Coturnix japonica: one gene and its partners. The protein of the gene in region 4 interacts with the protein of the main gene of each other region in a biochemical or structural test. Links are inferred from orthologs where the notes say so. Each region holds a gene or a part of one and is shown on either strand. Other genes may lie near its edges.

Region 1 (7,185 bases), on a different chromosome or scaffold from region 4:
GCATGGGGTGGGAGCTGACCCCTTCTCCCTGTGCCTTACAGACAGACCAGCAGGCGGAGGCCCGCGCCTTCCTCAGCGAAGAGATGATTGCTGGTGAGCAGGGAGGGGACAGGGCCCCATCCCAACACAGAGCCCGTCCCAATGCCCGTGTCCCAGCACTGACCACTCTTCCCTGCAGAGTTCAAAGCTGCCTTCGATATGTTTGATGCGGACGGTGGTGGGGACATCAGCACCAAGGAGTTGGGCACAGTGATGAGGATGCTGGGCCAAAACCCCACCAAGGAGGAGCTGGACGCCATCATCGAGGAGGTGGACGAGGATGGTGAGTGGGCTCCATGGGGGTGGTGGGTGTCTGGAGTGCTCAGCCTGACCCACATCACGGTCCCTCCCCACAGGCAGCGGCACCATCGACTTCGAGGAGTTCCTGGTGATGATGGTGCGCCAGATGAAAGAGGACGCCAAGGGCAAGTCAGAGGAGGAGCTGGCCAACTGCTTCCGCATCTTTGACAAGTGAGTGGGGCAGCGCCTGGTGACACCCGTCCGTGGTGGTGAGCGGGGCCGTATCCTGCCCTTCCTCTCCCACAGGAACGCTGATGGATTCATCGACATCGAAGAGCTGGGTGAGATTCTCAGGGCCACCGGGGAGCACGTCACCGAGGAGGAAATAGAAGATCTCATGAAGGATTCAGACAAGAACAATGATGGTCGCATTGACTTCGATGGTGAGCGGCAGGACCTCACCCTGCAGCTTGCTCAGCCCCTTTGGGCTGCGTGTGTGGCACAGCTGGGTCTGATAACGCCGCTCTCTTGCAGAGTTCCTGAAGATGATGGAGGGAGTGCAGTAAGGGATCAGACATTCCTTGGGCCGCCTGCAGCAGCCAGCCCTGCTCCTCCGCCCAGGACTGGCCCCGCCGCAGAGCCTGGCCTCGCTGCCACCCGCTGGAGCCCTGCAGCAGCTCGTGCCACTCGGCTGGCGGCTGAGCTTTTCCTTGACTCTGACAGATGTGGTTTATGGATGAACCTCATTAAAAGGGGGAAAGGCTGAGCTGCCAGTATGGGAGTGCCTGGGGGGTCTGTGGCACTGTACCCCATGGAGGGGGACACGGGGGTGTGTGCAATGCCGTGCCATACCCTGTACCAGCCGGGCTGACCTGTGAGTGTGTGAGCAGTGGTTCCCATGGGCTGCTGGGTGGGCGCCAGGCAGCGCTGAGCTCAGAGTTTCCATCAGGAGCACTCGCTTCCCACGACAGCAGCAGCAGGGAGCACAGCCCTGTTCCTCCCAGGGTCCCAGAAGGCAGCACTGGGAGGCTGCTCCTGCTCACATCACAGGATGTGTGACCACACTGGATTTTGGAAGGGGGAGAGAAGGGGGCCAAGCACTGCTTAGGTTTCTGATTGAAAGGATGGGGTATCCTGACACGAAAAGTTGGGGACTGCTTCCCAACCCTCCAAACCTCAAGACAGCAGCCACACCTCTGCACAGGGATTAAGGCAATGCTGAAAAGCCAGCCTGGTTGGTGCCAGCTCTCCCTGGGGACCCGTGTCTCCGTGCAGCCTCTGGAGCTGGGGAGGAGCACAGCCACAAGCGTGCCAAGATTGGGACGTGCCCTGGGCCGGGGCTCACAGGGAACACCCAGTGCCTGCGGGAGCAACAGGACAGGCACTGAGCAGGACCCCAGCTCAGAACCCATCCCTGCCCCACAGAGCCACTGAGCAGCTGAGTCCCTGTGGCACAGGATGGCACCGGGGAGAGGGGCTGCTTCAGGCTGCGGGGCACGAGGGGTGTGTGTGGCTACCCAGGCTGCGCTCTGCAAGGCGGCAGCGGGGCACCGACAGCTGGTGCTGCAGTTGGGGGGCAGTGCTGATGGCCCCCAGCTGCGTGAGGAGCGGCGCAGGAGGAGCGTGGAGGTGCGGGAGCTCAGTGTCGGTAAGGGTCCGTGCAGCGGGCAGCACAGGGGCTGAGCAGAGGGGCTGCAGCCCACTCAGTGTCTCCATCCCGCAGGGCTGCAGAGCGCACTGCTGGCGTGGCTGCAGCAAGCTGTGGGCCCCCAGGAGCAGCGAGAGCTGGAGCGGCTGTGGGTGCTCTTCCTCTCTGCCCTGGAGCTGTTCCTGCAGGACCTGTGCTGTGCCCACCACCTCTGCTGCACCTTCTCCCCAGGGATGGGTGGTGTGACCCCACTGCGCACTGGGTTGGGGCGGTGGCGAGGTGGGGGTCCCGAGCTGCCCCCAACTCCCCCATGCCTGGAGGAGGAGATGGAGCAGGTGAGGGCAATGATGGTGGAGATGGAGAGCACGGCCAACATCCCACTATGGACGGTGGAATCCATGCATGTGGTGGGGCCAGAGGAGGGCACAGAGCCCACATCCCACAGGCCAGGGCCTGGCACTGGGTCCTGCTGTAGGGTGCTGTGAGAGGGGGGCAGGAAGCGCAGGGCTGACTTGGCTCAGGAAGATGGGAAGCCATGTGCCCCACGAGCTGCCAACTGCAGGGCAATAATAAAGCCCCGCATTACCTGATGTGTATCTGCATCCCTTCATCCCCCCATCTGCCCTGTAGCCCCCCTATCTACAGCACTGCAGGTAACCCAGCTGCGCAATGCGTGTAAGCAGATGGAAGAACTTATAGACATGCATTTATTTATACATTAACCGTAGCTCACACTCCAGAATTAAGTTAAAAACAGCCTATAATACAGAAAGGCGCAGCAGATAGGGGCAAGGGGGCGGCGTGGTGGGGGTCAGGTCTCCTGGTTCTTAGCCTGCTTGCCATACATCTCCCGCAGGTACTTCTTGTAGGCTGTGGGGAGAGGGGGGGTGCGGGCTGAGGTTGGGGCTGTGCCACCGCCACAGCTGGGGGGGATCCTGGGGGCACTCACCAGCCTGGTTCTTCCACAGCTCAGCAGCGTGTGTGTTCAGCGGGCTGTCAATGTTGGGCTCTGAGGACAAGGGCAGGGTCAGAAGGGGGAGATGAGGATGGGGGGGGTCAGAGGTGCCCGCAGCCCCCGTGGCTCACACCCACCTGCCAGCAGGCTCTGGATGGACAGCAGGATGGTGCGCACGTCGTACAGCGCCGACCACTTCTCCTTCAGGATGTCGAGGCAGATGTTGCCCTGAGCGTCCACGTTGGGGTGGTAGCAGGGCGTGAGGAAGCGCACGGTGGGCGCGGTGTAGGGATACCCGCTGGGGAACTCCAGGGACAGCTTATAGCGCAGCTCCTCGTAGGCCTGTGGGGGCAGTTTAGAGCGGGGCGGGGGGAGCGGGGGGGTCTCACCGTGCGGGGTGTCACCGCGCCGGGTCTCACCGTGCCCGCAGCGCCGTCAATGGTGCCGATCCAACGGAACAGGTTGTCGGACTCGGGGAAGGCGGAGATGCCTTTATCGCCGGACATCTGCGGGCAGCGCCATCAGGACGGAACCGTCAGTACGGAACCGACAGCAACGGCACGGCCCAAACCCCGAGTACACCGAGCACAACAACACTCACCATCAGCGACACCAGCTCCTGCTGCAGCCTGCGGGGACAACGCGTTACGGGCCGCACCGGGCACAGCACAGCACAGCACCGGGCACAGCACAGCACAGCACCGGGCAGGGCAATGCAGGGCAATGCAGGGCGGCCCGGCCCGGCCCAGCCCGTCCGGTCCCGATCCAGGCCTCACCTCTTCCCCACGGAGCCCCGTGCAGCCGTCGCTCCCGCCTCAGCCCCTTTGCGGGCCGCAGCGCTGGGCACAGCGGCGGGGTCGGCGTTCTGTGAGGCCATGGCGGTTCCGGGCCGCTCGTGGGGTCCCTCTGCTCTCGGTCCGGTTCGGTCTCGGTCCGCTCCTGTCCCGCTCCCGCTGTGTCCGCCCGCCGTTCCGCCTCGCTCCCGCACTCCGTTTTGAATGTTTCAAACTCGCTCCTCCTCCACCAATCAGCGCGCACTTCCGCTCCCACCAACCAATCGGACACCGCCCAGAATGCGGCCGCTAAAAGAACGGCGGGTGGACCCGGAAGAGGCGGGACGGCGCATGCGCAGAAGATCCCTGCTCCCCCTCCCACCCCGGAGCGTGAGCCCTTAAAGGGGCCGCGCCCCAAATCCCCACCAGGCGTGGAAACGGGTGCGAAGCGGCGGCTTTTATTGCGGGGCCGGGGCCGGGTGTGAGGGCTCGGGGTGTTCGGGGTGTCCAACGGGCGGACCCTCAGGAAAGGCCTCGGGGTGGATCTCGGGGGGCGGCGGCGGCGGGTCCCCCCCGTTGCGAAGCGTCTCCATGTACTTCTGCATCTTCTCCGTCATCCAGGCAGGCGGGACGAAGGGCTTCAGCTCCTCCAGCCGCAGGTCCACACAGTCCCTAAGGGAGAATGGGCTGAGTGCGGGCCGAGGGGTCCCGGGGGCAGGCCGGGCCTCTATGGGGTCCCCGGTATAGGGAGCCATCCAGGTGACCCCCCCGTGTGCACAGCCCGGGGTCTCACCTGTAGTCGTCAGTGGCCGCCAAGTCGCGGATGTCCTCCTCCAGCAGGAGATAGGCCTGCAGCAGGGCGAGACACGCGCTGTGCTTCTGCTGGGGCCCGCGGTGCCCACGGGGCAGCTCTGCCCCCTGTCCCTGCAGTGCTGCCTCTCGTTCCTGCCCAACCCCAGGAGCAGCAAACACCTCTCGGCCCAGCCCTGCTCTGCCTGTCCTCCTCGTGGCCCTGCCCCACACGCTGCCTGGCCTCTCTGCTCCTCCGCCCCTGTCCATCCTGAGCAGGTTTCCGCACAGTTCTTGGGCTGTCGTGGGCACGAGCCCGGCCGTACTCACCATCTTGCCCCCAGTGGCCCTCAGGTGCTGCTGCTCTGCCAGCCATTGCTTATCCTGCGGGTCGGCTGCGTACTGCAATAAAGCAGCAAGGACCTGGCTGAACACGGGACGCAGACCTCCCACCTGGACCACCCTCCTGCGGGGCACAGCCCGTTCCAGTGCTCTGCTGCCAGCACCTCACCCCCACAGCACGGTGCTGGGGGCTCCCAGAGGGAGGGCTTAGCCCTGCCTGCTCTGCTCTCAAATAAAACCCTGACTCTGGGCAAAACCAGCACCTGAGAGGCTGTGCTACCATTAACGTGTTTCAGTGTGCTGGCCAGGTTGTGTGTACGTGCTCTAAGACAACAAATGGGGCGTGGGGAGGAAAAGCCAAGCGAGTCAAAGCGCACACACCCAGTTCCCATCACAAACTGCTTCTGAACAAACCCCAAAGGAGGAGGCATCCTGCTGTGGTATCTGACCTTAAAGAGGTGGGGATGCTTGATGTAGAGTCGCCCTCTTGTTCCTCCCATCCCGAGAGCTCTGAAAAAGGAACACAAGGGGGTGTTACACTGGGACAGAGGGGCCCTGCAGCAGCACGGGGCACCTCCTCTCCTCCCCAGGCCCCAGCCCTTCCTACTGCTTTCGAGGCAGAGAAGTGAAGTGACGGGAGGAGTCTTACGGGCTCCTGCCTGGGAGACACCACCCTCCATCAACAGGGCCATTCCTTACTTGTTTGCTCGAGATCCCAGCACAAAGGTTGTGGTTTCAGTCAGTCGGGATGGATCCCACTACAGAGCAATTGGAAAAGGGGCAACATTAGAAATGAAGCTGGTGCCAGCCAATGCTCCACGAGCCTCAGCTCTCTGACGGGGAACCTAAGAACTGATTTGGGAGGGAGGGAGGTAGCCACAAACCTCTGGATTGCCACAGAGGAAGGAAACTGCACCACCTTGGGCTGATCTAAGCTGTTTCCCTTGTAGGAAACGCTTTGTGGGATCCTCCTGGCTACCACTAAGGCTCTCCCCATGTCTCCTAACAGCTGCACCACACCACAGAGCTACAGTGCCTGGAGGAAGCAAGCAAAGGCTTCCAGGCACTGTAGAGACTCAGCAGAGTAGGGCACAACCTAGGTCTGTTCTGTGCTGCCGCTGCAGGCAGGGCTCTGCTAGCGGAAGCGAAGGGAGGAGAGGGTGAGCCCAGCAGCATCAGCCAGCCAATACCTTTGGTCCATCCCTTCTCACAGGTTCAGAGACTTTGAGCTTCCACCTGAAGGGAAGGAAAGTGAAATAAGAACAGGTCCTAGAAAGATCAATGCAGACAGACACCACAAGCTCCCAGCGGCAGGAATCTGAGTTTGAGCCTTTCCAGATCCACCCTCTCACACCTTCTCTGAAGCCCCATCTCTGCTGTGTTCCCTGTTAGCAGCTGTGTCACACACAGCTCACTGAATCATCCACCTGGTTCTGCACATCCTTTGGCCCTGTTTAAAACAGTTCCCTGGAAGGCTTTGCCTCCTGTGACTCAACCTCAGCCAAAACTCTCTTGCCCTTTGCCATCCCCCCCTACACCTCTCTTTTGTGCAGGGGGAAGGACACTGCAGGTTTTGGTGCCCCTTACTTCAGGCAGTTTTGTTTCCCGCTGCCCCCCCAAAGCACGGGCAGCAGCTTGAGGCCCATACTCACGCAGACATGCCTGAGACCCCACGATCGTTTGACAGGCTCTGTCCTGGAGGCCGTCCCTTTCTCTGCATGGAAGAAATCCTTCAGTCATTCAACTGTGCACATAGAAAGGACCCTTTTGATTATCTGTTCCATCCTACAGAAGCAGCTCTTTCTACCACAAGCACAACAACAGCATGAGAACAAGCACCTCTGAGCCTTCACAAAAACCATTCATACTTGCACATGCTCATACTGTGGTAACAGGAGCAAGGAACAGATCTCCCAAAACATAAAATCCCTCATGTGGAAAACCCTCCTACCTTTTTGGGAAGGGGGCTTCCTCGACGATTCAATTCCTCATCCATCTGTCGGGCACGCTGGAAGAGGAATGGTGGGAGGATGGAGACAAACCCTTCTCCCATCCCAGCCAGGCAGGGCCCCAAGCACACAGCCTGCAGCTCTCATTTGCTGACTTAAGGCAGAGAGCACAAGGGCACAGACAAACTCTGCAGGCAGCCCATAGCAGTGCAAAGCACTCAGATGCTGCACCTGGGGTCTGCACTGGTCTGTAAGTTACTTTCCCCACAAGACAAACATTTCCCAGCTCCACCTCCTCACTTGCACAGCTAGTAGATAATTCCAACCCCGTCATTCTATTCCTCCCAGCTCTTACAAATCATTTAATCCTCCATGAACAACAACTTTTACCTTTGGTCCCATCTGCTCGTGGGGCAACCTGGACACAACTTTTTTGCCATCTGAGAACAG
Region 2 (7,371 bases), on a different chromosome or scaffold from region 4:
CTTGGAGACAATAAAGATCTTTCAATCATCTATTTGGAAACTGCTTTACAGTAGGTGCAAGTTACTACAGTATTTTGTGCTTTACTCTATAGATTTCAAAGTAAATAGCAGCTACTCTGCAGTGTGAAAAGATGTGGTTTTTTTTTAATCTTCCTTATTTAGCTTGTAAGAAATGTCAGGAGATAACGCATAGTAGAATGGATCCCAATATAACTTTCCTTTTAAAATCTGAGATTTATATAAACATTGGCTTATATAAAACAAGTTACACTAAAACAAGTTATAACCTGGTGTTTGTTGGATTTGAATTGGCTTGTAGCTCCTCTTCTGGATTAGTGTGAATTGGTGTTGGTTTGTTAAATACAAAAATCTTAGCATTAGATGCTGCAGGTCGCTACTCAACAAGACACGTTTAAAAATCTACATGGAGCATTCTGTATTTTACCTGTGCAGGTACTTGGGTTAACTATTTTAGTCTAGTTGAGTATGTATTAATGGAATTCTCATGTAATCAGCAAGGTTTGTTATTCTTCAGACAGTAGCAACAATTTATAAAGAAATAATAGCTGGTGGTATTTAAAATATTGATTGAAGATGGGAACAATCTTTCCATGACTTTAATCGTTTGACAGTTGTCAGCAAAATCCCAAGGATGCATGTGATTTTCCTTTTTTCTTTGGGGGAAAAGAGAGAGAGAGAAGGCTTTGCTTTGCAGTTGACCTTATATATATCAATATATAAGGATATATTTCAGTAACAAAAAAAAAACTCAAGCAAGTAAAAAGTTCTTCCAGCATCGATCTCATCTCTATCTCCTGTAAGTCAGCACACTCCAGGAAAGGGTAAGAAGTGTGTACTCCTTTCTCCTAAAGTCTAGTCTGTGTAGGATGACAGTTAATCAGTTTATCACAGCTGTCTGCTTTTAAAGGGAAATGTGGAGAACATAGGAGACCCATTCAGTCTTTTGGTGGAAAAGCTGCTTTACGTTTTCCTCTTTCACATAGAACAAAAATTGAGCTTCCTATTCAGGCTGCTGAAAGTAGGATTTCCGCACAGAATTCTAATGATCTCATAGAAACCCTTCAGCTGGAAACCAGATAGAAAACTTCATAAAACTTCCTGAACTCTGAGTTGCAGTTTTCCAGGTGGCCTTTCAAGTGCCTTAGGGGGTGTCTGGTGGGACCCTGGTGCAGCTGGTGTGGGGAAGGTTCAGTTTCTCCCCTGCAGATATCTACATGAAGAGCCATTTTGCTTTGCTAGCAGGTCGGCCTTCAGTTACACACACGTATGTAAGTAGAAAGTTGTTATAATCCCTTAGAGAGGTAAAGGTAAACATCCAGTTCTTCCACACATGGTCTTTTTTCCAGGTCACCTGTCTAGTCCCGTCCTGTTGTTCCCTTCTACCATCCCCCAAAATCTTCTCGAAAAGAAAATCTAATAAGGAATTATTTATCCTACATGCTCATTTTTTGTTTTACTTTGCTAATGTATGTAATTATTTGTTAGATGAGGTACAAGGCAGTATTTCCTACATGTGCTTCAGCTGAATCCCAGGGAGAACGTGACGTTCTACTCCTGCTCAGGTAATGGCAGTGCTTTCAGGTACCTGCCATCTTCAATGTCCAGTGCCAAAACCACTTCATCATGCTTGACTGGTTGCAGCTGGTTTTTAAGTACAGCAGCATAATTGACTGTGATTTGCAATACAGAGACATCAGTAAGAGGTGCTTGTGTGCTTCTCAATTCAGTGAGAAGCCAGATTATTTACAGGTACCTAAGTAAAGGAGTTTTATTTATAGAACGCTGAAAGCTAGTTCTGAATAAAATGCAGTTATGCAAACATGACTTCAATCCTTTCCACTTCAGCTGGTTGCTTATTAGGTCTGTCAATGTTTTCAGTTCCATAAGAAAAATAGAATAGGAATATTTCTTAAGACAGTAGAAAAATACAGTGTTTAGGGATGTTACTGATGCTACCCTTACTGCTTTCTCACTTGTTCAGTTGTAACGATTAAAGATGTGTTAGAGATCAGTGTTAATGTAAGAGTTATTTCTAGCAGTAGAGTATCTTCTCCATTTGTTTGAACACCATTAATAGTCAGTGACTATGTGGGGTTCTTCGTGGGGAGCAGAATTAGCAGGAGGTACATGCAGCTCATGGTGCAGTTGAACTGGGGGCTGTGCTGTAGGAAAGGAGAAATGAAATGTGAGTAGTACTCACTTGGTCAGTACTTCACAGAAATGACTCTTTAGTTGTATGGATAAAATACTTTGAACGATAATTGGTTGTTTCTGTCCTTAAAAGTGACTCTAAAATTGTGCATTTTCCAGTGTCTTGTCTCATCACTTCAGTGCTAAAATTCATTATGTAGGTAAGGTTGGGAAAGCTTTTTCAAGAGGAACGAGGAAGGGGAAAAAGTGTTCTTGTAATAAAGGCGGTGTATGGTTATGGAGAATTAAAACTTGATTTTCTAGATGAAAGTTGCTGGAACAGGAAGCATCATCTTGCTTTGCTGTGTACAGTTCGTGACAGATGACCCACTTTCCTGGCTTTGGAGTTGCTGGCACAGGCCGAAAGCTCTTGCTATGGTCGTTCTGTACTTTGCTGAAAATCCTGCTAATGACAAGACTGGCGCGGAAGAAAATTATGTGGTGTATTTAAATGCTATTGTCTGATTAACAGTAGCTTGCAGAGAGTTGCAATCTCCTAGTTCGTAGCACATTCACCTATTTTTTCAGCCCTTTCATATGCTGCCTGCCCTTATGATCTGTGTTTGGAGTAGGAGGCTGTGTAGTAAAAGCGGCCCTCCCTGAAAAACTGCACGAGTCCTTGCAGCGTACAAACCAGGCATCGTTTCAGGGATGAGAGGAGTTTGTGAAAGTACAGTGTGATGCATACATTCAGTGGTTGCTCACATAGGAATATGCTTTGCTGTGCTAGATAGAAACGTTTGGGAGCAGTACGAAATAAATCTGCTGTACTCCTTTCTGATCAGTGCAGTCAAGAGCAGTATTGGATTGTGCACACGCCTGTGGTGTGTCACTTAACATAAGGGCAAACTCATTCAATTAAATGCTCACATAGTCTTTAGCTACGTGTAATGCTCACCTCTGAGTGTTGTTTCAAAAACTTGAGTGGGATCAGTGTGAAACAGGGTTAAAGCAGTGTTGAAGATGTTAGAGAAGTACAGAATGGAACCTGCTGTGCCATCGGACTCTTTGGTTGGCTTGCTGAGTTGATTTAACTTCCCATTCTCCCCTCTCTTTCTTTTGTGTAGTACAAACAAAATCCAGAAATGTTTAAACAGACAGCTCGACTTTGGGCACACGTGTATGCTGGAGCACCAGTTTCTAGTCCAGAATACACCAGAAAAATAGAAAACCTTTGTGCTATGGGCTTTGATAGGGTAAGTATATACATGAGGTCTCTCCCAATCCAAGGTGTTCTTGAACATTTTTCAGTGGGGGTGGGGCAAGTATATATGTGGCGATAGGGGGAGCCATTCGGATGTTGAAGTGAAACTCACTATTTCTGCTCTGTTTGGCAGTTCGATCATAGGGTTTAGCTACAATCAGAGTTCTGAGGGGCTTCATTATTGGTAGATCATGAGTTCCCCTCACCTCTTCTCAAATATGATTAGTTAAGACTTGAGTGAAAAACTAACACACTCAAACTGATAAACCTGCAAACGTCTCATTTCTCGGTCGCAGGCTCACGCACTGGAAATGTTACTGTTTACCTGTTTGTTTTCTCATTGCAGAATGCAGTAATAGTGGCCTTGTCTTCAAAATCATGGGATGTAGAGACTGCAACAGAATTACTCCTGAGTAACTGAACCACATAGAGAGCTGCTTCGGTTGTCCAGCTTGCCCCTTCTGGAGGAGCATCACCATCTGTTATTTTTAGGATTCTATATAGATTCTCTTTTAAAACTGGCACTCTTGCCTGATGATACTATCTAGGCACTATTGGAGACTGAAAAACCGCTCTGTAAATAAAGCTAATTAAACGTCTGTGTAAATTTAAAAAGGGGAAATACTTTAATTTTTTTCTTACTAAATATTGTAAAAATTCTTTGAGCTCAGCTAAAATAATGGGGGAAAAACATGCCTACTTTTGTGTTTAGCAGTGTGGCGAAAACTAGCAGGAACTTTCTTCAGGATTTTGATTTAGTAATTCAGAAAGCCACGTTTTTGAGTGTTAGTCATCAAAATTGTTGGTGCCGCTCATCACAGCTATCTTACTGTTCTTAACATGGATCCTTTGTGCCTGTGGATTGACCTATATTTGCATGCTTGTACTTAATAGACGTATTAGGTAGGGTCGCTGAAGAGAGCACCATTTAAATACTCGAGTGTTCTTGTACCTATTTTCCTGAAAGGCTGAAAAAGATTTACCCAAAGTTCCAAATGGTGACCTATTCAGAACCTTTTTCTTTGTAGCTTATTAATTGGGAATCCAGATTCTCTTCTCCCTTACGTCATGCAGCTAAGAGCCCTCCCTAGATTATTCTTCATTCTGTTGGTATTGTGTGCCATGTATGGTAGTCTAGGCTCGCCTATGGAGAACATATTTTGAATTATCGACGATTTTCATCCATCATTGTATTTTCTACGCACCTGGCAAGGGTTTGTATGCCTTGATACAGCACAAGAATGGAGCTGGTTTTCTTTCCTTTTTGTTTTCCTTTTCTTTTTGTCCAAAGTGGATGTAAAATGTTCTTCCGTGTATCTTGGATAATATGACTTCACTGGATTTGAAGGAGGAAAAGTTAATTCTCTGGCGTACTGAGAATTATATTTTCTTTTGAGTACTTGATATGATGCAATCAGCTGTTTTTTGCAGCAGTTTTCTAGCTTTATTTTGGGCTTCAGTTTAAGGATTGCTTTCCAGGTACTTGAAAACTCATCCTTGCTCGCGTTTTTCTCTAGTTGACACATGGAGGCTGTGTTGGTGTTTTTACTGTACATACTTCAAATGCACATAGAAGTTTGTTCTCAATTTAGCTTTCTTTTGGATTGATGATGTTTCTGATAAACGAGAACTGAAACTTACTTTGGCTTGTACATACAGTCAGTCGTCTTATTCGTATTAAAATGACATTTCATCCTGAGTGCAAAAGCTTGAAAATTATTAGTTTTGCAACTTCAAACACCAGTACGTCTGTGTAAAGAGAACTGTAATGCCTGTACGAATACGATGCAACTTGTGAGAATACACCTGACAAGGAGTTCAGAGGAATCTGAGAATAGAGCGGGGATTGTCAGTGCAGGAGCACGTAACTCACTGTCTCACAGCTGTGTCTTTTCCCGAGCAGTGTATGAATGGGGGCGGGGTGGGGAGGCGCGTGGCTGGTTGGGATTTTCCTTGGACTATGAAGTACAGGCCGAAATGGTTCCACCCTTTGTAGAGGTTTGTTTCCAAGTTGTGCTGGATGAGATCAGGAATGCTGCACCTGATCAATGTCCGGAGCATAGTTGTTGTGGAACAGAACCAGAGAACAGAGCCGTGCAGACCCAGCTTCGGGGATGTGCTCCCAACTCTTCTGTCCCATGTGTCCAGGATTAAAGTATTTTGGGGCATGGACAGTGAATACTTGTAACTCATATCAGTGCAATACTAAATGCATTTGCTTAGTCTTATACGTAACTGCTTTTTGAGGTGTAGTCAGTGATGACTTTTCTTGGATTTTCTGGAGTTAGTGTAAATCATTCTCGAAGATGCCAAAGGAAACAAATTGCTTTGTCTTTCTTTATAGTTATTTATTTTTTTTAAACAAGAAGCTGCTACTGTTCTGCTGGTTTGTGAGCTGAGAACCAGGGGGCGGTAGGAAACCGGCTAAAGGCCACTAGTGTTAGCCTCAAATTGCTGTCTGTTCTGTTGTACAGGGTAAGAACTTGGTTACATCAACCTTTTTTTTGTTGTGTTGTTTTATCCTGGTGGTAATTATACATTGCTGACTACTTTCCTTTGCTCTTCGCTGCTATTTATCAAAAGAAGGGGTTCTGAAATTGTTGTCAAGGGGTATAAAACTTCTGCTGTGGGCTTCTGAACGTGTCTTGATGAGATGGGTGTTCTTAGGAGACCAACTGGAAGCATGTGTCTGGAAATACCCAGATTTCCTCAACTGTGTATAAAGGAAGAAGAGTGGAGGTGGTTCTGAGGTGGTCACGGTCACCGCTGAAACAACACCCCGCTAAGTTTTATTTCTCTTGTGAAGTTACCTCATTTTTGTCTCCGTAGAAGAACGCTCGTCTACCCCTTTCCCCTTCCATGTAGCTGTTGGACGCTGTGTTTTGCCCTCCATCCCCACGTGCTTTACAGCAGAGATACCTCGATGCTGGCTCAGGTGCTGGCTGAGGGCGGCTTAAGGCCTGAGCTGGGAAGGAGAGATGACCAACAATAAGGAGACATCAGTGGGCTGAGTTCTGATACCAGTCCTTTGTAAGGAGTGGTTTTGTCTTCTTGATAATTATCAGAGTTGAATATAGGAAGGAGGTTGTACAAGGTTAGTTTGGCTGCAGCTGGGGCTGAGCCCCGGGGAGTTTACTATCAGCATTCAGCTCACTGAGCTTGTTCAGAATGCGGATCTGTTATCTGTGTGAGCATCGCCACGTTCTGGGCCCTACGTGTTTGCCAGCGCAGAGCTGCACACAGGTCACTGCTGCAGGCTCAGGATGCACATTTTCTGCTTGCTTAAAACAGGAATGTTAAACGTGGGGACAGTTGTTTGTACAAATAAAGCTCGTATCGTCTTCCTTCAGTATTTAAGAAAGCAGCTTGAACACTTATTCTGAAGTGGATGGCCCAGTTTTTCTAAGCAAGGTGTTGCTGATGGAGCGCACAGATTTCCAGGCATCAGGTCTCACTGCTCAGTGTCTTAATGTGCATCTGGTGAAGTGGCTGCTGGGGAACCAGCACCTCCTGTCTCACCCGCTTCCTCAAAAAGCAAAGTCTAATTTTGCATGGAGATAAAGGAACATCCCTTTGTCGCCAAAAGCCCGTTTTCCTGCCAGTGCCAAACTCTTCTCTCTGGCCTCTGCTCCCCCTTCCAAACTGGCAGCTTCCTCCATTGTGTCTGTGAAGGACCAACGGAGACTTTTGAACAAAACTTAGTACTGGATCCTTGCAGAAAGTTGTGGCACGTGGCGCTACTGCATGTACCAGGCTTCCCCTTAGCAGCAAGATGAAGCCAGTGCCAGCTCTGGGTGTGAGGGAGCAGCTTTATGGTCAGGCTGGTGCCAGCTGGGCACTGTGCTGTGCCTGGACCAGGAGCTGGCTGCAGAGCTGGGTGCTCGAGGGCTACAGGGCTGCTGTCTGTCTTCTTTCAGGTTAAACAAGAGTTAAACAGGCAGGAAGGAGCTCACCTG
Region 3 (7,851 bases), on a different chromosome or scaffold from region 4:
TGACATATGTTATCCATACCGATAACAAACATGCTCTGATTGTTTTGACATCATGAGCACACACTGTGGGTATGGTACCAAAATGTAATTACTGGAGGTGTGAAGAATAGATGTATGTACTTGATTACTAAATACTTCAGAAGAACAAGTAAGGGAGGGTTGTTATAAAAACCTCCCTAACAAAAAATACTGGCATCTCTCCCGATGAAGCAGGTGGACATGCAAATAGATACAGCTTATATTTATGCATTTATGTTGATTTAGCACTACAGCCTTGCAGTATCTCATATTATGTTAGCCAGTGTTTTGTATTATACCAAATGACTTTTGTTTTGTTTTAACTTGCATGACTGCATAGGAGGCCACATGGTGGCACTGTGTGATCAGTTTCAGTGCCTTGCAGGCATTTTTCAGCTTCTATTGGGTTTGGACTCTTTTGTCCCAGCCCAAATGAACTGGCAGAGACAAAACTAGAGGACGACGCATTTTCTTACTCCCTTCTAGTTTTGCCTTAACTCCTGTAACTGTTAGATTATACTCAAACTTAGTTTTCAGCTGAAAAGGCAATGCGAATTTTAATATTTCTTGAGTCTGAAGTAAGGATCATCAAAAACCTGAAATATGTGATTAAAGGAAATTCTGTTCAGAGTTTTTGCTAGTCTGATATTCTCCTGATTATTTTTTGAAGTTTCAAGCCAAAGGCAAGGAGCTAGTCATAAAGACAAAGAGCAACTATTGTATAATTCATTGGTATTTAACACCGCCTAAAACCCTGACAAGTTTGAGAGCAAAGCAGAACGAACGCATTTCTATTTCAGGTGGCTGTTAGTTCAGAAACCTGATTAAAGGTCAGGATTTGCAACAGGACAATTCCCAAAAGGCTTGTCTACCTTCAGGCTTATCTGCTTCTGATGAGTAAAAAGCATTAAGGACTTGAAACATTCCGAGGCCTGTTATCCTTTCTAGTCTGGAAAAAGATTTTCTCTACCTTTGACAGTATAGCAGAGGACAGCATGAAGCGAAAAGTTGAGTTGAGTAACTTGCAGAGATTGCTCAGAATCTCTGTTGAGTGGCAATAGCAACATCTTCAATGTATTTTAATTAAAACAGTTGAAAGAACAGCCTACAGAACACGAGGACCTTAATTACAAACATAGAAAGCACAGAGTCCAAGCAGCCTTTCAAGAGTATTGCAAGAACATCAGCAGAATGCTTAGCACTTAATATTTAGCATGCTGGAAGTGAGATGGAGAACTCATACCTAGGTGATAGATGAGTCAGACAGCCACAGGGAGGGCAATAATAGGAACTGTAGGTTCTACTGACACACAATGCTTAACTAAACAACACCCTGTGTACCACTAGCACGCAGCCCAGCAAGAATAGCAAACATTAATAGCTATGGTTCCTGCTAAGTCATGGCCTGAAGCAGTGATTGAGCACCTGGTGGGAAGGTAGAGCTCAGGTGTATGCAATGAAACCGAATGACTGGAAGGGGTGGGACCAGGATTCCTCAGATCTCATTTAAGGGTTTGCAGTGGAGGTAAGTGCATCTTGCTGGAGATTTCTGCTTCTGTGAGGCCTTCTGAAGGTGAGCAGCTTTCTTTTCTCCTTTGTTTTTGCATTCATGGATGTTGCACTTGGGCTTGTCCTTGTTTGTTGCAGCCTAGGACTCTGCTACCCCATTTTCATTGCTGTTTTCCACCACATTACAGCATTACATTTCCTGAACTGGCTTTTTACTGCTTTGGAAACTAACTTAAGAATTAAAAATTTAGTTGTAGATATCAAACAAGGACTTCCATTTGCTGTCAGTTCCTTCTCATTTCTCACAAGGGTGAGTTCACACAGCCACTGCAACTAAATATTACTTCTTTTTCCAGAACTTTAAGCAGCTGTTTATAGTAGTAGATATCTGAACTACTATGCATATACAAGCATCATAAAAACTTGCAGTAAGATAGAATAGTATATTAGAATCATTAAGGTTGGAAAGGACCTCAGAGATCACCTAGTCCAACCAGTAATTCCCACTAAACCACATCTCTCATTACAACATCTAAATCTAAATGTTTCTTGGAGGTCTCTAAGGACAGTGACTCCACCACCTTCCCAGGCAGACCATTTCAGCACCTGACCTCTTTCTTGAAGAAGCATTCACTAATGTCCTACCTGAACCTCCCCAGAAGCAATCTGATGCCATTCCCTCTTGTCCTACTGCTAGCTACTTGGGAGCAGAGGTTGACCCCCTTCTCACCATAGTCTCCCTTCAGGCAGTTGTAGAGAGTGGTTTGGTCACCCCTGAGCTGCTTCTTTTCCAGTGTGAGTAATCCCAGCTCCGTCAGCTGCTCCTCTTAGAACTTGTGCTCCAGACCACCTACAGCTTTGTTGCCCTTCTCTGACTGTGCACTAGGGCCTGTCTTTCTTGTAGTGAGGGCCCCCATATTCCAGCTTTCATTAAGCACCTCAAACCAACTTTTATCCACTGTGGTAACAGCAGGCAACTATGAATAATGCCACCTCTAAACCTCACTTGTTTTCCATGATTACTGAAAAGAACTAGAACAATAACAGTGCTAAGAAATTGAATCTATACTTGTGACTTGAAGATTCATATATTAATATCTGGATACAGTTCAGAACACTGAATTATAGATGAGCTTTTAAGCAAGACTAAGTTTTGTTTTAATAGCCTGTCAGATAGTAAAATGCCTACATCTTGGGTGTGCAGCATATTAGCTCTACTGAAAGAAAAAGCAAGGTAAGTTTTATTTCACAAGTTAAAGTAACCTTTATTTATAAACATAAAATTCAACAGAAACTTCAGAGTATGCTTTTTAGAAGTCATAGTCCATAGGCGGCATATCAATGACGTAATCCAGCGTAGAGATGAAGTCAGCAGGTGGTTCTAGCAAGTCTGAAAGTTAGAAATAGAGGAGATCAATTACTCATAAAATCCAGAAGTTTACACTCCAGCTGGCTGCTGGTGGATTAGCATAAGCCTCTTGAATGGCTATGATGAGTTAGAAATATATTACAGAAAGTTACATGGCAGTGCAGCTTCGAGACCACTACCCATGCCAGTAGAGATGACCAGTTAAATTCAGCTCAGTTACATACAGAGTGCTCTTTGAGATAAGCATCCTGCTCTTGCACTTACAAGAGCAATAGTTGTTCACTACTGCAACAAACTCACTTCCTTCCTAAATCACTAATATGCGCTGAACCTCAGGCTAATTTTCCACTTACCAGACTCCCATGGCATCTTTTCAAGCTTTATAGGTGAAGAAGCTAGGTCCACAGGTTTGTCATAAGTACTTGGGAATATCATGAGAGGAACACCACGCAGCTTGATATCACTTAGTTTATCCTCTTCAGTAACATCAAAACTCTCAAAGTCTGTTTAGGAAAGACACGCTGTAGTTTAGTAACAGCGCACAATAGCATGTGAAGCTGCAAGTTGTCCTTGATTAAGTGAAATGGGAGTAGTTCCAGGACAACTCAGTCCAACAGTTCCTTCTTATGGAGTGCTTAGTTACAGTTACTTATTAGTGTCCATGCAATTTTGTATGCTAATGCTTATCTGAAGTGTATGTAACAGTCATTATAAAGCAAGAGTTTTAAGGAATTTTTCTAATCCCTATGCTGTGTCAACTATATCAAGCAATACGTATATTTAAAACACTCAAACAAGAACAAGGTCATGCTTCCAAAATATTGAATGCCCTTATGTTTAAGAAAGGACTCTGGAGAAATGTAATACCAGCTTAGTCACCACAACAGCTCAGTGGAAGTCTTGCAGCATCAACACTTAATCAAAGTCCAATTAGGTTTTAATAATTACCCCAAGAGTTCTTACCTTGAGGATCAAAAGGAAACATGTTTTCTATTTCTGGGTAAGCTTCATCACCCCCTCCATCCCAGCTTGCTAATCCAACAGCCTTTTCAGCAACCTTAAAATGAAGAAGTCAAGTTATTTGTGCTGTCGTGTTTTCTCAGTGTAGTACCCTTTCTGTGCCTGTAAACCTGGATTTTAACACCTTTGATACAAATAAGCTGCAAAAGGGAAAATGCTTCAGTTGAACTTGTATGATGGTACACAGTGGCAACAAATCTCTGCAGTATGATATTTAGGCTCATAACAATAAACTCCCACTAAATAGAATATGAACAAGACAGTAACACAGCCAATATTTTGTCTAGAGTTACTTCATTGCCCTTGTGTGTTCCCTAAGCTGTTGTAGGTACATCATGCATTCCTCTGATTCCCATCCATTACAGAAGGGTTGTACTCACTTTCTTTGCACTGCAAGGCTGATTTTTATCTTTCTTCTGTTCCTTCTTGCTTGTAACTCCTACAGTTCTGTTCACATTTCCAAGAGCCTTTCTGACAGAGTGAGATGTGGCTGGAGTTCTGATTGCTTTTTTTAGAAGTGGAGTATTGACTTGTGTTCTTTCTGATAAGGCTTTTGCTGCAGACAGGAAAGGAAAGCAAGCTTTAGCACCTTGTCAACCCTAAAGCTTGCTTCTAATGAAGTGTGTGTGCTAGAAAGCTAATTGTTGTTCTCCACTTCTAGATCAAAAGTATAAGCTCAAAAGACAGGTGATTTTCATATTTGTAATAGCTGATAAACTTAGTTTTACTATTTATCTGCTTAACCCATTTTGTTGTTCCTGTTCAAAACAGTGATTAACAAAACCCAGGACACGCACTTTACTCCATCCCACGCTGTCTCCATGGAGCATATACTCACATGATACCGAAGGGCGTCTTAACTGGTTCTTAGTAGCACCAACTTCACCATCCTCCTTATCCACAAAGATCAGCGTCGTCATCTCTGGGCTGATGAGACCACCCTGGAAAGGCAGACAGAAGATCTTGGCAGTTCTTGCTAATAGAAACAGCAAGTTTTTGATGTATGCTAGGAATGATGATGGCAGCTTGGACTGAGCACAGGGCCAGTATTAGATATGGCGGTTGATAACACGGCACCGTGCACTGGGCGGCCAAGCAACGCCTCGCAGGCCCGCCCTTCTTTAGGGCAGAAGGATCGCTCAACAGGCCAGAAAGAAAACATGGAGGAAAAACAGCACACTTACCTGCGGGAAAAGCCGATTTGGGAGCAGCAGAGCGAGGAGAAGAGCAGGGATAGCGATAAGCACAACCAGCCTCTACACCCGCCCCGCTGCTCCCATAGGCCGCTTTCGATTAACGCTCAGCCGCCCCATTGGTGACTACCGAGTTCCGGCTCCTCGTTGCCCTGGCAGTCAAGGGGCGGGGTCTCGGTGCGGCCTAGTTGGTAAACAGGGAGTGGAGGTGCGGGACCGGGTGGGCTTTGCTGGGGTGTTGGGTGGTCGTTGTGCCCGGTATGGCTGGGTGGAGGCTCTGGGCTATGAGGGGTAACCGGGGGGAGGCTCGTGGGATCGGTTCGGTTCGGAACGCGTGCGGTTTTTTAGTGTTTTAGGAGGAAGTAAAATGGCGTCTGGGACGGCGGTAAACGCGGCTCCTTCGGGAGGGCCGGGAGATGTGAGTATGGAGGAGCCGAAGAAGATGACGAGGGAGGATTGGAGGAAAAAGAAGGAGCTGGAGGAGCAGAGGAAGCTGGGGAACGCGCCTGCTGAGGTGGATGAGGAAGGAAAGTAAGTTCTGTAACACAGCTCGGTTTGTAAAGTAGGCTTATGTGGTTACAGAGTTGTGAAGCTGAGCTTAACATGAGGTTAATTAAGCTAAATTGTGCGGTGGTTTTTCCTGTGCCGTGTATTAATTTCATATCTCCTTTTACAGAGATATCAACCCTCACATTCCTCAGTACATATCTTCGGTCCCGTGGTACATAGATCCTTCCAAAAGACCTACGCTAAAGCATCAGAGGCCTCAGCCAGAGAAGCAGAAGCAGTACAGCTCCTCAGGAGACTGGTACAAACGGGGAGTGAAAGAGGTATGGGGATGCTTTTGTCCTAAAACAAAGCTTTTAATTATTCCTATGCAATAAGATATAAGTCAGTGACACCCTGCAAGATCTGGTTATATGCTTTGGAGGGTGACAGGAACTGGAAATTTGTACACAGCAAGCAGATGAGGAGAGGCTGAAGGAGCTGGGTATGTTCAGCCTGGAGAAGAGGAGGCTCAGGGGGGACCTCATTGCTCTCCATAACTTCCTGAGTTATGTTGGGAGGTTGTAGTGAGCTGGGGGTCGGCCTCTTCTCTCGTGTCATTAGTGATAGGACCAGAGGGAATAGTTTCAAGCTACAGCAGGGGAGATTCAGGCTGGACATTTGGAAGTATTACTTCTCAGGAAGGGTGGTCAGGCACTGGAATGCACTGCCCAGGGAGGTGGTGGAATCACCGACCCTGGGAGTGTTCAAGGGAAGATGTTGTGTTGAGGGACATGGTTTAGTGGGAGCTATTAGTAATAGGTGAACGGTTGGACTGGATGATCTTTTAGGTCTTTTCCAACCTTGGTGATACTATGATTCTATGATTCATTACCCAGTGTTTGGTAGTCACCTAAATGGCCTTTTGAGTTTGGTTGGAGCATGTGTGCTTTAGTTGTGTTAGAAAAGTAAATAAGTCAGCTGGGAGAAATACACAGATGAATCTTAGCATGTGTTTGTTTAATGTTTAACGCTGTCTTCTTTTGTTGTTTAGCACTCTATAGCTACCCGATACCGGAAAGGAGCTTGTGAGAACTGTGGTGCACTGACACACAAAAAGAAGGACTGTATGGAGGTAAGCTTGACACTGTTGATATTTTAATGGTTCAGAAGTAAACGTGAATTTAGTGAAAAACGCCTACCCTATAGGTAAAACAACAGTTACTTAGTTATTTTGAAATACAGAACTGAACTTCTTGAATTTATTTACAAGTCAGATGGCTTATCATGCTAAGCTTAACTGGCTTTACAAGAGCTCTACTGATGCCATTCTTAAAGAGCGGTGTCTCAATGTATGTTTAAATTGGACCAACTGATCCAACCTTTTTGTATGTATTTCACTTCCAGAGACCCAGGAAAGTTGGAGCTAAATACACAGGCATGAATATTGCACCAGATGAACACGTGCAGCCTCAGCTAATGTTTGATTACGATGGAAAGCGAGATCGTTGGAATGGTTATAACCCAGAAGAGCACATGAAGATTGTAGAAGAGTATGCCAAGGTTGACTTGGTATGTAGGTGTTGCAGTTCACCGTGGAAAAATGAAGCATTTGGATACGCTGTGAGGAGGGTGGATTGTTTTGCACACTGATAATGTTAGGTCTTGTGTTGCATCAGTAATGGAAAAACAGGCTGTATGCTGTGTTAGCAGACTGCACTAGAACTAGAAATAGAGGAATTCAGATCTCAGTATAGATCTGTCATACTGTCTCTCCTATTTGCTTGTTTTTGCTAGACAAGCCCTATAATGTACTGACAAAGGTGTGGATTAATTTGTAGGCAAAAAGTTAATTTCTAAGCTATTAGATACTATCCAAAGTCCTTTTGTTACTCTTGTGGAACAGTGGCTGTTGGTACATGTATCTGTGGCTCTGTGATGTCATACACATAGAAACCTACTTTGTGCTGCTTTAAAATACAAATTCCATTGCTAAAATGTCATGATTCTTGTCTGAATTTTAAATGCTTGCACTATCTTTCAATGAAATACCTTAACTATTGAAATCCTGACTACGTTATGAGGACACTGTGGTAAAACACCTTTGTTCTCAAGCGCTGCTGAACTAAAATAAGCTGTATTTTTTTAATTAGTTTGCACATAGTAACGGTACAGCTGCATGAGCTGTGGTAAACTTGCTTATTTATCAGAATACCATAAAACAGTAAGATGGTTAGTTAATGTATAGCGTCCTTC
Region 4 (6,478 bases):
ATTTTATGAGGGTTGAAGTGCAGCACTTTGCCTCCTGCCGGGCTCTGTGGGGCCTGAGGAGGTTTGGGAAGAGCCGGGCACTGGGCTGAGCCCTTCTCTGCCTCGTACATTCCAGGGTGCTGTGCTCGGCCTCCCCACACACTGTGCTGTACGATCCCTCCATGCCCATTCTTTTGTCCTCTGTTGTAAACTTCTGTTGCTGATCATTAATAAAATATTGAAGAGTTGTCTGTTGGTCTCTTTGGGCCTCAAGTCTGGGTGCCGGTGTAATATCAGGCCTATAGGTGCTTCTGCTGGGGCTTTTCTCTGGAAGCTCTGATCAGAATGGACCAGATCTCACTGGCTGCATGGAGACAAAGTGCAGTGGGCAGTGCTGAGCTCCGTGGGAATGCCAGATTTGTTTTGGCACAGGGTTAGGGGTCACTCTGTCTAGAAGCTGTTCTTTTTTCTCTCATCACTTTGGCAGCTGTATAAGATAGATGTGCAGTTGGGATTCTGTGGTGTGCAGGGAGACCTGCAGGGTCCATCCTGTCACAAGGTGCTGCTGAGAGCCAACCATCCACCTGTGTGGGAGCACTCAGCCTCCCCATGGGGTGGGAATGGGAGAACTGTGGGGCTCCTGTCCTCTCCCAGAGCTCATCTGATGGGAGCAGTGGGTTCACTCCAGTCCCCAGTGTTGGGCCTGACGCGCTCCAGTGAGTCTCTGCTGCCTGTGCTGCTCTCAGAGTTGGGGCTTCTGCCTCACTGATCCCTGGCTCACTACAGCTCAGCCATCATCACAACCACCTCCACCTCAATGACAAACTGACCCCAGGCTGAGAGCATCTACATGCAATGAGCCACCCCCAGCACCAACACAAGTACTGCTGTTATTAAAAACTGACAGAACCATTCTATTTCTGATCCTGGCGCTCGGTTACGTGCCTCTTGGTGTCATTTAATTACCAAAGAAGCTTCAGCTTTGCCTGCTCAGATGGGTGCGTGGTGGAGCAGTGTTCTGTGCAGCTGCCCACTGCTATTTCTATGCACAAAACATTTGCACATGACATCTCCCGCTTTGGGAGCCTGCGGGCCCTTTTAATTCTCATTTCAAGTCTGTATCTGCTCACATCCTGAGAGTCCCAAAGGGCAAAAATGAGCGTGGAGTAAAAATGAGGAAATAAATTAAATGAATTTAAAGTCTGTGAATAAATATTTTTGTGGTTTTTTTTTTTTGTTTTGTTTGTTGTTTTATTTGTTCTTTTTCCTTCCTTTCCCAAGCACAGCTCAGGACTTCGGCTCCAGCACCAATCCCAAAGTAGCCACCCCTGTGAAGCGCAGTGCTGTGAGCGGTGGCAGCAGTGCTGGGTATGTGGGGCTGTGCTGGGCCCTGCGTGGGTGCACGATGGGGTGGGGGCACCTTCACAGCATGGGGCTGGATCAGTCTGCAGCCTATTCAGCCCTGTCTCTTGCTCAAGGGCCCCAGGGCCTGTGTGTGCCTGCTTGGGTGCTGTGTGCTGCCCTGGCTGGGGTTGCACCCTGGGGCTGGGCCTTTGCCTGCTGCAGGCAAATATGGGGGCAGCAGGACAGGGATGTGAACAGCCATGGGCAACCAAAAGCACCATCCCTGTCCCACCAGGACAGTTGGACTGCAGGGCTGAGGCTGTGTCAGTGCTGATATGAGTTCCTGTAGATGTGCAAACCTGGAGGCTGAGTCTCAGCAGTGGCAGTGCTGGTGTTGCTGGGGGTCAGTGTGTGGCTTCCCCTGACCTCAGCCCAGAGCATCTCCCACCCCAGGGTAAAATCCTTCCTCAGCTTGGCTTACCCTGACCTGTACAACACCCCCCAGCTTCAGATTTGTCTCCTGTATCACTCAGAGAACTGAAGACATGGCAGGGAGGGGTAGGGGATTCATCCTCAGCCATGTGGAAGACTTTCCCACTGCAGCAGCTCTGCTCACAGGCACTGTGCTCAGAGCTGGGCTGCTCCACGCACTGGAAGATCAATTTCAATGGATTCCTTCTCCCTGCACTGTTTTTTTTTCACCTTAAGCTCAGCAGTGGGGCCCCAAGCTGTGCTCCATCCCCCAGTGCCTGTGGCACTACCCAAACTCCCACCCATTCCAGAGGGCACACAGCTCTGGGTGGGCACTGCTGCTCAGGGCACCCCTGTGTGCCCCAGATCCTGGTGGGCTCCCCCCAACCCCAAAGGCTTCCCTCCCCTTAAGGACAGACAACATCTTTCCATTCCACGTGCATTTATTGTCACTATAGTCACCGTGCCACCTCAGGCCCCCCCACACTCTGTGGAGCCCAAGGACACGGTTACAGCCACACTGCACTGCAGAGCACCGGGGACTCCCGATAGCAGCCGACAGCTCCGTAGCTTGGGGTCCACATCCATCACACACGGCACCTGTGGGGAAAGTATCACAGAGATTCCTGGGTGGGAACTTTGGAGCAGGGCTGCCCGCGGAGCCGGGCAGGTGGGTGTTCCTGGTATCAGGGCATTGCTGGGATCTGGGCGTTGCTGGGATCAGGGCATTGCTGGGATCAGGGCATTGCTGGGATCAGGGCATTGCTGGGATCTGGGCATTGCTGGGATCAGGGCATTGCTGGAATCAGGGCATTGCTGGAATCAGGGCATTCCTGGTACCAGCCCGTTCCTGGAGCGGAGCATCCCGGTACTCACCGCGGTGCGGAGCGGAGCAGCGGCACCTCTGCTGTCGGAGCGGCGGCTGTAGGGCAGGCGGCGGAGACCGGAGAGCAGCCCCGAGGCTCTGCCCACCGGGTAGGAGAGCGGAGCGGCCGCCTGCCGGTACCAGGGCGCGGCGGGGCGGCACAGCAGCATCACGGCTACAGCCAGAGTCAGGCAGCGGGCGGCTCGCATCGTGCCGGCGGGGGCGCAGCGCTGCGGAACGGCCGCTCCGGGTCTTTATGGCCGCGGCCGCCCCCGCCGCGCAGCACGAGGGAAAGCGCCGCTCCCCGCCCACGGAACCGGGACCGGAGCGGCGGGAGGAGGCGGGGAGGATCATTCCTTGAACTTCCACTCCTGGCGGCACATGGGGCAGTGCTGCTGGACCTGCTGCGAGTGCAGCCACTTGAGGATGCAGTGCATGTGGAAACAGTGCGAGCACTGCCCCCACACCAGCGGGCAGTCGTCCCCGGGCACTTTGCCTGCGGCGTGGACACAAAGTCAGGAAGGGCCGGGTCGCACCGGACCGGGTACCATACCGGGTACAGTACCGGGTACGGGACCGGGTACCGGACCGGGTACGGGACCGGGTACCATACCGAGTACCATACCGGGTACCGGACCGGGTACCATACCGGGTACCATACCGAGTACCATACCCGGTACCGGACCGGGTACCGTGCCGGGCCCCGCCGCACTCACAGTCGGGGCAGCAGCCGTTGAAGGCCATGCGGCAGATCCCGCAGTTCTCGTCGTTCGCCACCCACAGCCACGAGGCGACTCCGCTCCAGCTCCGCACCTTCACCCTCATCGCCGCCGGAAGTGCCGCTCTCCGGTCCGCGCCGCCCCGCCGGAAGTACCGCCCGCCGCCCCCACGAGGCCCCGCCAATCTGAACGCGCGCCTCCGCCCGCCGGTCCCGCCTCTTCCGCTTCCGGCGTCGGCGCAGCGCGGCCGGAAGCGCAGGCCCCGGAGCGGAGCCGCCATCATGGCCGACAAGATGGACATGTCCCTGGACGATATCATTAAGCTCAACCGAAGCCAACGCGGCGGCGGTCGGGGCGGCGGCCGGGGAGGCCGGGGCCGAGGCGGCGTCACCCGCGGGGGCGGGCCCGGTCGGGGCGGCGTGGGAGCCGGGCGAGCGGGCGGCGGCCCCGTGAGGAACAGGCCGGTGATGGCCCGGGGCGGCGGCAGGAATCGGCCCGCGCCGTACAGCCGGGTACGGGACGGGGGCGGGGGCGGAGCCCGGTCGGCGGGGCCCGGAGGGAGGGGGCCGGTGTGCGGGGCGGGGGGCGGCGGTTCGTGGACGGGGCGGGGGCGGTGGGACGGGCGGCCCTTTGTCCGTTGCCGGCGGTCGAGCCGTCCCGGCGGGACCCGGCGGCGCTCAGCGAAACGTCCGTGTCGTTCCAGCCGAAGCAGCTCCCCGAGAAGTGGCAGCACGATCTGTTCGACAGCGGCTTCGGGGCCGGCGCCGGGGTGGAGACCGGCGGGAAGCTGCTCGTCTCCAACTTGGACTTCGGCGTCTCAGATGCGGATATCCAGGTACGGGCTCGGCGCTGTTCCCGGGGGGTTTCATTCATTCCATCGGTGCTGGGTGCTGGGGGTGGCCATAGAGCATTGCTGGCCCTGCTCCCATTGGAAGGGCCCTTCACACGGTGCCTGGCCCTTTGCTTCACGCACTGCTGGGGCTCTGAGCTGAGCAGTTGGAGTGGCTGGATTCAGAAGAGTCCCAGTCTTTATGGAGCTGTAGGTAATCACATATGAAATATCTCTACCACGATGCTGTGGGGGGGATGTTGCCTTCGCTCAGTCCTGCTGTGATTGCAGAGCTTAGCACAGGCTGTGTGAGCTTTTAAGGTCTGTGTAATTCCAGACGTTCAGTAGCTCTATATATACATCTATTGGCGCTGTTTTCATAGTACCTGTTTATGTACTTTTTGTTAAAGTTTTGTTCAGTCTCAAGGTGTTCTTATAGAAGCACCAGTGATATTGAGAAGTCTGGTCTGTGAGGGGGTACCTGCTCGCTCATGTTGTCATTTCCACAATTACCACATGTATCTTATGACAGATAAATGTTCTAGCTGAGTTACCAGCTGCAGCTCAATCCCTTGTTCCAGCTGTGCCCTGGGTGCAGGCTGTTTGCAGTCACTGTGCCTGTGACACAGCAGTCACAGCTGTGGGGCTGCTCTTACTTGTGGGCAACAAGTTGTGCAGAAACATCTGCAGATCCAAGGAGCATCCAATCTGAAGGGTTTTCCTGACTTAGTCACATTGCAAAGAGCTTTGGATGGTTTCTGGTCCTTGCATCTCCTCTAGAAAAAAATAACTAAATCACTTCTATGTTTTCTTCTGTTAATTCATTCCGGTTCAACCTGTCTGCATCAGGAGTATTGGAAGTGAGCTTTTTTAGGTCACCTAGTTATTGAGCGATGCACTTAAAACCACTGTTTTTTCCTCAAGTGAGTTTAGTTTCAGTTGATATACATTTCCTGTTTGCTGTAATCAGGCCCAAACGTGTAAAAGTGAATCTGTAAAGTTATCTCAATGTAAGGAATTAATGTGTTTTGTGTGGCAGTTGAATGTTTCCTTTTCACAGTTGGCTTGAACTGCAGGAGCAGACAAACATCTGTGTATATTATATGTAGCAGCAAAGCTGACTTAATGGGTTTGTACCTCTTTGTTACTGCCCATCCCGTAATTTTCCACTAAGCTGCACTGATTGTTTTCTTTGTTTCTGTGCTGATTGTGTCATTAATATGGTTCTGCTCAGCTCAGTGCTGAGGAATGAGGGGCTTGGTGGGAGCCTCGTTCACGTTGCTCTTGTAGGAGTATGTGTGGTGCTGTGGCTCCAGCTTCTCTGCAGGACAGGGATGTGATGGAGCACCTCTCCTCCCATGTGGTGCTGTCTTCCAGAAAGCTTGTTGGGTGCTGTATGTTCATGTTTAGTAAATGGACACAGTAGAGAAACTCACTGACAGGCTTGCATAAAGTGCAGCTGGCTTAAGAAGTGAAAATATTTATATGCTCCTTTCAAATGCTTGGATAGGAATTATAGAGATGGCTGGAATAGTGTTTGGGCTCTGCTGCAGGTGATATGGAAGGCAGCCTGTGGTGTCTGCTTTGGACACCTGACAATTCTGTGTGCTTCAAACATTTGAAGAGTGGGGTGTAGGTATAAACTTGCAAAGTAGTGAGATGTCCCCAGATGTACATCTTAGATGTAGCCTCTGTGAAACAAAATGGGTGGCTCCACTGTTGCAGCCTTCCATCGCTCGTGATGGTAAACGATGCTCTTCAGTAGAAGATTTCCTGCTTTCAGTTTATACAGACTGGCAATGTCCCTGGGAAGAGGAGCAGGTCAGCATACCTTGGGGCCACTTTGTTGGCTGTATACAAGCACCCTTCAAGTGGTGGATATGAAATCCTGTTTGTTTCTGCCACCTGTGGCTGCTTTCTGGAAGTCTTTAGTGGCCTGTGTTCCTTCTTTCACTGGTGCTATTTGCGTGGTGTCATGGAATGTACATGATATTGCTGAAAGCAGGAGCTGCCTGCACCTTCTCTGGGCTGCTCGGTGTTTGCAGAGCTGACTGAAGCATATTCACTTCTCCCTCTGTTTCTCAGGAACTCTTTGCGGAATTTGGGACCTTGAAGAAGGCAGCAGTGCACTACGACAGATCCGGACGCAGTCTAGGAACAGCAGATGTGCATTTTGAAAGGAAAGCAGATGCTCTGAAAGCTATGAAGCAGTACAATGGAGTCCCCTTGGATGGTGAGTCTCTGTGGCTGTCGTGTGCTTCTCTGCACGGC

The links.
Region 1: the proteins of ANAPC11 (region 4) and UBE2C form a complex in vitro, tested with the Homo sapiens proteins (66 studies listed by BioGRID). The link is inferred for Coturnix japonica from reciprocal best matches to the Homo sapiens genes ANAPC11 and UBE2C.
Region 2: the proteins of ANAPC11 (region 4) and UBE2K form a complex in vitro, tested with the Homo sapiens proteins (3 studies listed by BioGRID). The link is inferred for Coturnix japonica from reciprocal best matches to the Homo sapiens genes ANAPC11 and UBE2K.
Region 3: of the proteins of ANAPC11 (region 4) and PTTG1, one has a biochemical effect on the other in vitro, tested with the Homo sapiens proteins (3 studies listed by BioGRID). The link is inferred for Coturnix japonica from reciprocal best matches to the Homo sapiens genes ANAPC11 and PTTG1.

Annotation. Positions count from the first base shown.
Region 1 is NC_029535.1:9,480,113-9,487,297, reverse strand, and holds UBE2C (ubiquitin-conjugating enzyme E2 C), read right to left. Parts: upstream 3,986-7,185; 5' UTR 3,760-3,985; coding exon 3,659-3,759; intron 3,512-3,658; coding exon 3,484-3,511; intron 3,389-3,483; coding exon 3,302-3,388; intron 3,225-3,301; coding exon 3,020-3,224; intron 2,937-3,019; coding exon 2,877-2,936; intron 2,798-2,876; coding exon 2,739-2,797; 3' UTR 2,617-2,738; downstream 1-2,616. Other genes in the region: TNNC2 (troponin C, skeletal muscle), read left to right, coding at 42-93, 179-322, 396-510, 586-722, 814-845; regulator of G-protein signaling 9-binding protein-like, read left to right, coding at 1,738-1,927, 2,003-2,412; DNTTIP1 (deoxynucleotidyltransferase terminal-interacting protein 1), read right to left, coding at 4,114-4,327, 4,449-4,504, 4,775-4,846, 5,236-5,296, 5,486-5,544, 5,977-6,022, 6,439-6,500, 6,738-6,794 and 1 more. UniProt on the Homo sapiens protein: Accepts ubiquitin from the E1 complex and catalyzes its covalent attachment to other proteins. In vitro catalyzes 'Lys-11'- and 'Lys-48'-linked polyubiquitination.
Region 2 is NC_029519.1:62,464,897-62,472,267, reverse strand, and holds the end of UBE2K (ubiquitin-conjugating enzyme E2 K), read left to right. Parts: intron 1-3,278; coding exon 3,279-3,407; intron 3,408-3,761; coding exon 3,762-3,836; 3' UTR 3,837-5,122; downstream 5,123-7,371. UniProt on the Homo sapiens protein: Accepts ubiquitin from the E1 complex and catalyzes its covalent attachment to other proteins. In vitro, in the presence or in the absence of BRCA1-BARD1 E3 ubiquitin-protein ligase complex, catalyzes the synthesis of 'Lys-48'-linked polyubiquitin chains.
Region 3 is NC_029528.1:9,899,132-9,906,982, forward strand, and holds PTTG1 (securin), read right to left. Parts: upstream 5,221-7,851; 5' UTR 5,101-5,220; intron 4,858-5,100; 5' UTR 4,837-4,857; coding exon 4,755-4,836; intron 4,473-4,754; coding exon 4,297-4,472; intron 3,954-4,296; coding exon 3,860-3,953; intron 3,400-3,859; coding exon 3,250-3,399; intron 2,918-3,249; coding exon 2,838-2,917; 3' UTR 2,767-2,837; downstream 1-2,766. Other genes in the region: pre-mRNA-splicing factor SLU7, read left to right, coding at 5,477-5,640, 5,786-5,939, 6,650-6,730, 7,003-7,167. UniProt on the Homo sapiens protein: Regulatory protein, which plays a central role in chromosome stability, in the p53/TP53 pathway, and DNA repair. Probably acts by blocking the action of key proteins.
Region 4 is NC_029533.1:4,443,240-4,449,717, forward strand, and holds ANAPC11 (anaphase-promoting complex subunit 11), read right to left. Parts: upstream 3,539-6,478; 5' UTR 3,485-3,538; coding exon 3,376-3,484; intron 3,156-3,375; coding exon 3,010-3,155; 3' UTR 2,869-3,009; downstream 1-2,868. Other genes in the region: NPB (neuropeptide B), read right to left, coding at 2,266-2,394, 2,671-2,868; ALYREF (THO complex subunit 4), read left to right, coding at 3,660-3,890, 4,082-4,213, 6,293-6,440. UniProt on the Homo sapiens protein: Together with the cullin protein ANAPC2, constitutes the catalytic component of the anaphase promoting complex/cyclosome (APC/C), a cell cycle-regulated E3 ubiquitin ligase that controls progression through mitosis and the G1 phase of the cell cycle.